2 linked regions of the Lytechinus pictus genome follow. Each later gene encodes a partner of the first gene's protein in a complex. Links are inferred from orthologs where the notes say so. Each region holds a gene or a part of one and is shown on either strand. Other genes may lie near its edges.

Evidence for each region.
Region 2: protein OS-9-like (region 1) and ubiquitin-conjugating enzyme E2 J1-like share a complex: the UniProt entries of both Homo sapiens proteins name them as parts of the HRD1 complex. The link is inferred for Lytechinus pictus from reciprocal best matches to the Homo sapiens genes OS9 and UBE2J1.

What each region holds. Positions count from the first base shown.
Region 1 is NC_087247.1:60,361,763-60,365,691, forward strand, and holds the start of protein OS-9-like, read left to right. Parts: upstream 1-1,464; 5' UTR 1,465-1,559; coding exon 1,560-1,715; intron 1,716-3,929. UniProt on the Homo sapiens protein: Lectin component of the HRD1 complex, which functions in endoplasmic reticulum (ER) quality control and ER-associated degradation (ERAD).
Region 2 is NC_087248.1:15,066,387-15,070,315, reverse strand, and holds the start of ubiquitin-conjugating enzyme E2 J1-like, read left to right. Parts: upstream 1-1,686; 5' UTR 1,687-1,847; coding exon 1,848-1,878; intron 1,879-3,929. Other genes in the region: 5-methylcytosine rRNA methyltransferase NSUN4-like, read right to left, coding at 1-698, 1,377-1,478. UniProt on the Homo sapiens protein: Catalyzes the covalent attachment of ubiquitin to other proteins. Functions in the selective degradation of misfolded membrane proteins from the endoplasmic reticulum (ERAD) and is essential for cells to recover from ER stress.

The sequences.
Region 1 (3,929 bases):
CACCCCTGAATTACCTTAAAACAATCGATAAATAAGCATTAACACAAAATGCCTATTAAGCACTTTTTCTGAGCACATTTTTTAAAATCTGGACCTGACTATCTGTCTTTTGTGCGTCCTATTGGTCTATCTTTTGAATCCTCGCTAATACTACAGTCACACGGCCATGCCTAAGGACCTGCGGATGCCTGCATATTTGGATAATGAAAATGCGTAATTTTTACCTCAATAATGGAAATTTAAGCAAAAGTTACCTATATTCTTTTTATTTTATTTTATGCCATTTGCGCTACGCATGACCGAATCAATTGATGTTGAAGACAAAAGGTGCAGAGACCCCTTTTTCCAAGTTTTTGAAAACTTGATGAAAAGACAGATGCTGATGTAAATACTTTCATCGATGTCTGAGCTGGCAAAAATCTTTTGATTGGACCCTTTTTCTTACAAAGGATTGTTAATAAGTGAATGTACTTGCACACCATTAACGAGGAGATCGTACCACATTTGGACCAACATATTGTTGAGGGACAGTTGTGAGGAGTGTACAGGTATCTTTGGTGGATTCAGGACGGAGCTCCTGCCCATCGTTCCAACATCATTCGTGATATAGACTCTTTGGACATTACGTTGTTGCCCTCAACCATGGCATTAAAAAGCCACCAAGATCGCCTGACCGCACGCCCTTTGATTATTTCCCTTAGGGACACTTAAAAATAAGGTTTTTGCAACTCTTCCCCACGATTTTGATGACTTGCAGGGTCTCCTCGTCTTCCTTTAAAATTATTTCTTTTCTGTCTTAAGCTGTATAATGTATTTAAAAACAATGTTTTCTGCATACTCTGTTTTATGTATACCTGTATGTTTTATCATGTACTTATTGTTTCATACACACTTGTATGTTTGTCATGTATTCGAACTCAAAGTTGGAAGACAAATAAAATAAAAATTCGATATGAGGTGGATGCTTTGGACAATGATCCGGCATTGCCATTGGTGAGACGAGCTGTCCAATATATCCTTCAACGCTTCTGGTTTTGTTTTCAAAGGAGAGGATGACATGTTGAAGGTGTGGGTAAATAAGACCAGGTCCATGATAAGACATACACTTTTCACTCATCATTTCAGAGAAATGCCTCAAGTAACACTTCATTCCAAAAAATTACTTTGGAAAACATATTATTCTATCAAGTTCACATTTTACCCACTTTACCAAAACTTGGAAAAAATGGTCTCTGCACCTGTTGTCTTTAAAAGCGATTGATTTGGTCATGCGTGGCACAAAATGATACAAATAGGGTATCAATTGAAAGCTGATGAGTTTCTCATATATATCCATGCAGAATAATTTCACAAAATTAAATATGATCCTAATATCAGCCCTCTAGATTTGGATTACCTTTTTTTTGAAACGCACTGTATACAGCTAACGAGCGCGAGCCAATCACATGCAAGCAAATCATCATAGCAGTCGAACTTTGGTGCGGTACGCGTACGGTGCAAGCATGCATGCAGTGATAAAGTAAACCGAGGACTTTCAGCTCGTTACGTGAGACGAGAAGATGGGATTGAAGCGAATAGAAAACATCGCACTCGCGTTGTTTTTAACCAACATTACCATGTTGGCAGGGACATCAGTATATTTCTTGGATATAGAAGAACTCAAAAGCATCCATTATGACATAGATATCCTTGAAAATCCTGTTTTATATGGAAGAGTAAGTAGAGATTTGTTCATGTACGGTCCCATATGTATATTTTTACGTGTTGTATGGTATAGGCTACCTCAGGCTCAGGCGATGTTCGTGCAGGCTCCACTCCACTTCACTACCGCTACACTACGCTCCACCTACCCGAACATCGGGACAGTGAACTAGATCGGATATTCCGAGTCATAAAAGGTGGGATGGCAATCATGGTTATCGTAAAAATTAAAGAAAAAAAATATAAAGAAGGATATGAATGACTTAATATCTTACTTTACACCCGTAAGTGCCGTATTTCACTCCGTGTCCATCCTCCGGTTATCCTCAAAATTTGTGATTTTGGGCCAGTATCTTTTTCCTCACACGTATTATTCACGGCCGATTTCAAAACATCGCATGCGATCGCGATCGATCAGCGACCGATCGCATGCGATGTTTTGAAATCGGCCGTGAATAATATGTGTGAGGAAAAAGATACTGGCCCAAAATCACCAATTTTGAGGATAACCGGAGGATGGACACGGAGTGAAATACGGGTGTAAAGTAAGATATTATTATTAAGTCATTCATATCCTTCTTTATATTTTTTTCTTTAATTTCTACGATAACCATGATTGCCATCCCACCTTTTATGACTCGGAATATCCGATCTAGTTCACTGTCCCGATGTTCGGGTAGGTGGAGCGTAGTGTAGCGGTAGTGAAGTGGAGTGGAGCCTGCACGAACATCGCCTGAGGTAGGTATAGGCGTACTACTAGTATAGTGAGTGATTGTATATTACCGAACGGCCTTGTAGTTGTATTACCGAACGCGCGCATCGTACGCGTCAGAAAATAATTTCATACGCTCAAAACTTTGCAACATCCTTCCAAAGGGAACTTGAATAGAAAGATGATGAAAAATGGTCAAAACACATTTTCAAAGTTATGATATTCTAAAAATATTAAAATATGGTCAAAATAGCTCACCAGTGATTTTGTTGTTTTCTCAATTTTTCCCATAGACCTTATCGCAAATAGATTCACGCAAAGGATCATGGGATCGCAAAGGGAGCAATAGCGCCGCTGTTGTCCGGATGCGACCATGCGAGCGCAAGCAGCCGACAATAAAGTGTACGATTTCCATAGTGTATCAAAATACGATCGACGCCGGCAGCCAACATTTTGCTAACTTCCAGTAAACGCCTCGTCATATTTGTTCCAGAGTCTAACATCACTTTTCTTCTTAATCATGGGTGGCAGAGATAGATGTGCTGTATAAAGCTGCAAGAATTACCACAGATTTTATGAAGACAAGTGCAATTTTCTTTCATTTTCGCGCACTGTCTGTGCGTATTTTGATCTGTGCAGCTGCTGTGCAAAGTGTGCTTGTATGCACGGACAGCGGGCATGCACTCTCGGCCCAGGGGTACGTCGGCGAGGCAGTGGAGGAAACTGGTCCCGGAATTCCAAGCAATAATAAAATGATGATCAATAAAACAAACTCTGCAGTAGATTTGATTACTTTAGTCTAGTTATATATTTTTTGTAATATCAATCGATAGTCAAGAATACATGTTTCATAATTAATTATCTCAATCATGATTTTATTCAGAGTAGGCCTATAAACCGAGCTGTGTTTTCTTTTTCTCTCCACAGATAGGCTACATAATATTATTGCATATTATTCAGGATCGTGGTCGGACATTCTGAAGTTTTATTGTTGGCATGCATAGACAAAATAATCATAATGAAATAGAAAAAAATGAGAATAGATGAAAGTATATTGAGAGAAAATTAAGCTAAAAAAAGAAAAAAGAAATTAATGAGGAAGGTGATTTGTAAGAGAAGTGACTGAATGCGATGAAATTAATTGAAGATGTAAATGTTGAAATAAGATTTTTTATCAAAAGAATGGAATATATATCTATATGAATTAAATATCCATCTGCTAAGTTTCAGACAAAATAAAATTACAGAGAGATTGGAGGGATAGGGCCTATACGGGATCATAAAATGTTTTAAATTGAGAGATTTATTCATCTTTATTCTGCATGTCATAGGCCTATTATTTTGTATGTCCTTAATATTATGTATATGTATATATATATATATACACTAGCTTATTTTGGGCTTTAGATTTGTCTCATGCACCAGAACTTGTATGATCAAACTAAACAGCCCGAGTTGCAAAAAAGGACTATATTTCACCCAAAATAACAAAAACTAGCTAAATTTATATGGAGAT
Region 2 (3,929 bases), on another chromosome or scaffold:
TGTGGCAACCTCTTCGGAGATGACTTGTGTAAGAAACATCTCAAGTGGGGACTTACCTCGAGCTCAGCTTCCACAACTTTGACGTAGTTAGCACCGGAATGCTCCGACATCAACTCGCTGTCCCCGCTCCCTTCCAACTCCATCTGCTGCAGGAGGTCCATCCTGTGCTCGTAACCAGGAGCAACAATATATTGTCCATCCCACCAAGGTTTTGTCAGATGCCCTGCTTTTTTGTTCTCAAGTTCATCATGTTCAAACACTCCCTCCTCTGAACCATCTTCTTCTCTCGCCCTGATGATCATCTCTCTTTCCTGAAGCTTCTGTGCTACTGCGACACTATCTAATCTTGTACTTCCTGAAGCACTTTGGGATTCTTCATCAACTCTGGTTCCATTTCCTGAGGTACTCTGATTACTCTCATTGACCCCTCCTTTTAATCTCTGAGAGTGAGACCGAGTTTCACTTTCTATCCTGAGGTGTCCTGCATGAGGTTGTACAAAGTCTTCTACACCTATCGAATGAAGTCTATCCAATGTCTCTTGCACATCACTGTAATTGTTGAGGAGAGCCCCTGAATTGGGCATGGACAGCAAGGCTAGGCGAATAGATGGCCATTCGTCTCCAAACAGCGGCCGGTAGTTTTGGTCGAAATGCTTAAGGGCAACTTCTGTTGGATCATTTTTATGTTTTCCATATGACTGCACAAAAGAACAAAATAAGGTGATATACATTTACAGAGGGTATAATGTGCATTAATATCAAATATACTCATATCCATATTAGCAAGTTACTCAATACAAAAATAGAACAATTTACAAAGTACATGTAGAAGAAAAACATGTGAAACCAATTAACGATTATTGCCAGACATTTTTTTCAGCAAGTATCTAGGCTAAATTGTTGCAAGTATGAGAGAACTGGCCCTGCATGGAGCATATGTTGTGAAATTGAAAATATTAAAACTGTCTATTTCATCACATTTTTGTTAGACAAGTATTTTTCATAGTCTGCATTTAAACAAAAAAGAGAGAAATTCTGCAAATCTGCAACGTTTTTTCAATCTTGTTTTAAATTTAATTATTTGGGTAATATTATTGTGATTATCATAATTTGAATTCAACATTTCCAACAGCAAATAGATCTAACTTCTAAGTTAGATCTATATCAAACAAAATTAAGCAAGGATCTTACGACGTTACAGCTACATGACATAGATTTAACTCAACTTCTCAAGCGATGTTCGTGCAGGCTCCACTCCACTTCACTACCGCTACACTACGCTCCACCTACCCGTAGTGTAGCGGTAGTGAAGTGGAGTGGAGCCTACATGTAACTGCACGAACATCGCTTGCTGAGCTGAGATCTAGTCCACGTACCAGTTTGGCTTTTGTCTTTTTCCCTCTGTAGGTTATTTCTAATTCTTTGAACCGTCGCACTTGCAGGAATCTGGAAATTCGCCTGGGCACTTGTGACATCATAATGTAGAAACTATCTGCAGCAAACGTCGTAAAAACTCTAATATTACAAGTTCACATGAAACACTCTCTGCACGTGTTAGTAGAGGGATGGTTTGTTTACGTCGGCCCTTTAAACCAAATACTGAGCGATTTTCCAAGACATACATTGGTTGGCCAATGATGAATACTTCACAAAGTTCTGACCAATCAGAGAATGCGACACATTAGCACAACTTAATGTGGGAGTGCGAGGATTCAGCTGACCGTATCATATGAGAAAACGCCACGTCGCTTTGTGAATAGTCCGTTCTTTTGCCTTTGGAGCAAGATTATTGCAATTATTCGCTATTATACTCTGAGTCTGAGTCACCTTTTGTGAGATATCCCACCATGCAGTCTACATACTCGAGGAGGAGTCCAGGTGAGTGGTAATTAAAAATTATCAGACGTATTCATGTGCTCAGTCCCACCTAATTTCGTTCTGTGTCAGTGACAGTGAAAGTGTGACACTACTGTCAGTGTCATAATCATTTAGCAGTGATATCCAGTCTTGAGCACTCTGGGGCTACACCGCTATTCCAACGCGTGTTGGAAAAGTCGACGCCAGACGGGTATGTTTTGGCCTTGAATTTCCAGCAAATTAATCAAAATTACGGCCTAAATTTAGGTCTATGTTATCAATTATATACTAATTTCATAATTATAATGTAAAACGGGTACTCACGGGTTCTTTTCTTTCCAAATTTTGTGTTTTCATCGCCTCTTCTGGCCAACTCTTGCGATGGATTTTGTCGCCATAGGATCCTGTACGTGCAAATCCAGGGCGAGTTGTCACATGACGCTCGCGAGTCTCTAGGGGTAATTAGACAGCTGGCAGCCGTCTGTTTTGAGGAGTTTTTTAACATTTTGTTTTTTTTTATTTCTCCTCATACACAGACGGCTCGCTATCGTGCAGCCACCATTAGGGGACTTGCAATGCAAAATCCCCCCGTCGGGGCTCTTCAATTTTTGTCTTTAATGAAATTTTTTTTTGAAAATTAATGCGACCAAAATACAAATTAACATTCCCTCTTGGCATTTATTGCCAAGAAACGGAGAAAAATCAAGTTAAAAGGAACAAAAACAGTGACTTACCTCGGCTGTCGCGCAAATTCACTTCCCTGTTTTATCCGATCTTAAGTACATAAACATATGGCCATTGAGTCCCCTGTACAGATCGCGCTAGAACTTCGGTCTCTGTATTTGGTGAGTGAAGCCAACGGAGTTCAGCTGAACAACCAACATAACAGAGACAGAAGCTTTTGGTCTAGGGGTAATGGCCTTTAATCAAGGCGTTCTTTTTGCTATAATTTTATAATGACGCTTAAATATCGAAATCAATGTAGACGAGTCTGTGCAGGGGCATAACAGGGGTATATAAGAGGGGGCATAGTACATGTCGCATGTGGAAGATAAAAGTTACGTAATGTAAGTCCCGAGCACTAGCGTACCTAGGGGGGGGGCAGTCTGCCCCCCCCCCCCCCCCCCCCGATGAGTCACAAACCCATGCAAATTACATATCTCTGCCCCCCGGCCCCCCTGACGAGCTTGAAAACCTATTTTGCCCCCCCCCGACGAGCTTGAATACCTATTTTGCCCCCCCTGGCGAGCTTGAAGACTTTTTTTTTGCTTGTCAAATTTTTTCTGGTACGATTGAAGACCTTTTTCATTGAAGAGCCTTTTTTTCCTTTTTTTTTGCTTGTCAAATTTTTTGGCGGCCGATTTTGCCCCCCTGTGGAAAATCCTAGGTACGCCATGCACTGCCCGCGCTACATGTATGTTGGTAGCCCTGGGACCTCTGGATATTAACTAATCCAATTTAATTACAGATGGCAGATTTTTTTATTATCTGAGTAGCCCCCCCCCCCGGATTATTTGTTCTCACATTACTTTCCTTTTTAAATTTCCTTTCGTTCTTTCTTTCATTTTTCTTTCTTTCTTCCTTCCGTTGCTCCTATGTTTTTTTTTCAGGTGAAATCCACTCGGGGGATGGCCAGCCATGCCCCCATCTGTTTATGCCTCTGAGATGTAGGCTATACTCATGATCTTAATCTTCGATTTTCCAAAGTAGGGGGGTGCAATTTCTCAAGTAAAATTTGACAACCCCCCCAAAAAGGTTATCCCAGAAAAATTGTCATTTTGTCTCGCGTAAGATTTGACAAGTAAAAAGAAAAGATGGTTACTAAAAATAAAAGACTCATTTTGTCCGTGTAATATTTGGCAAGCCTCCCCCCCCCCCAAGTTTAACATATCGGAGGCGCGATGGCTCAGTCGGTAGAGCAGGGGTTTCGGATTCCGGTGACCCGGGTTCGATTCCCAAGTGGTGCGCTAGTGCCCTTAAGGCTTATCCTCATTACCAGGTCCCTCGGAGAGGACCTTAAGCCGTTGGTCCCCTGGTTGCTTGCTCACAGGCATTCGTGCTTTTTTAGCAGT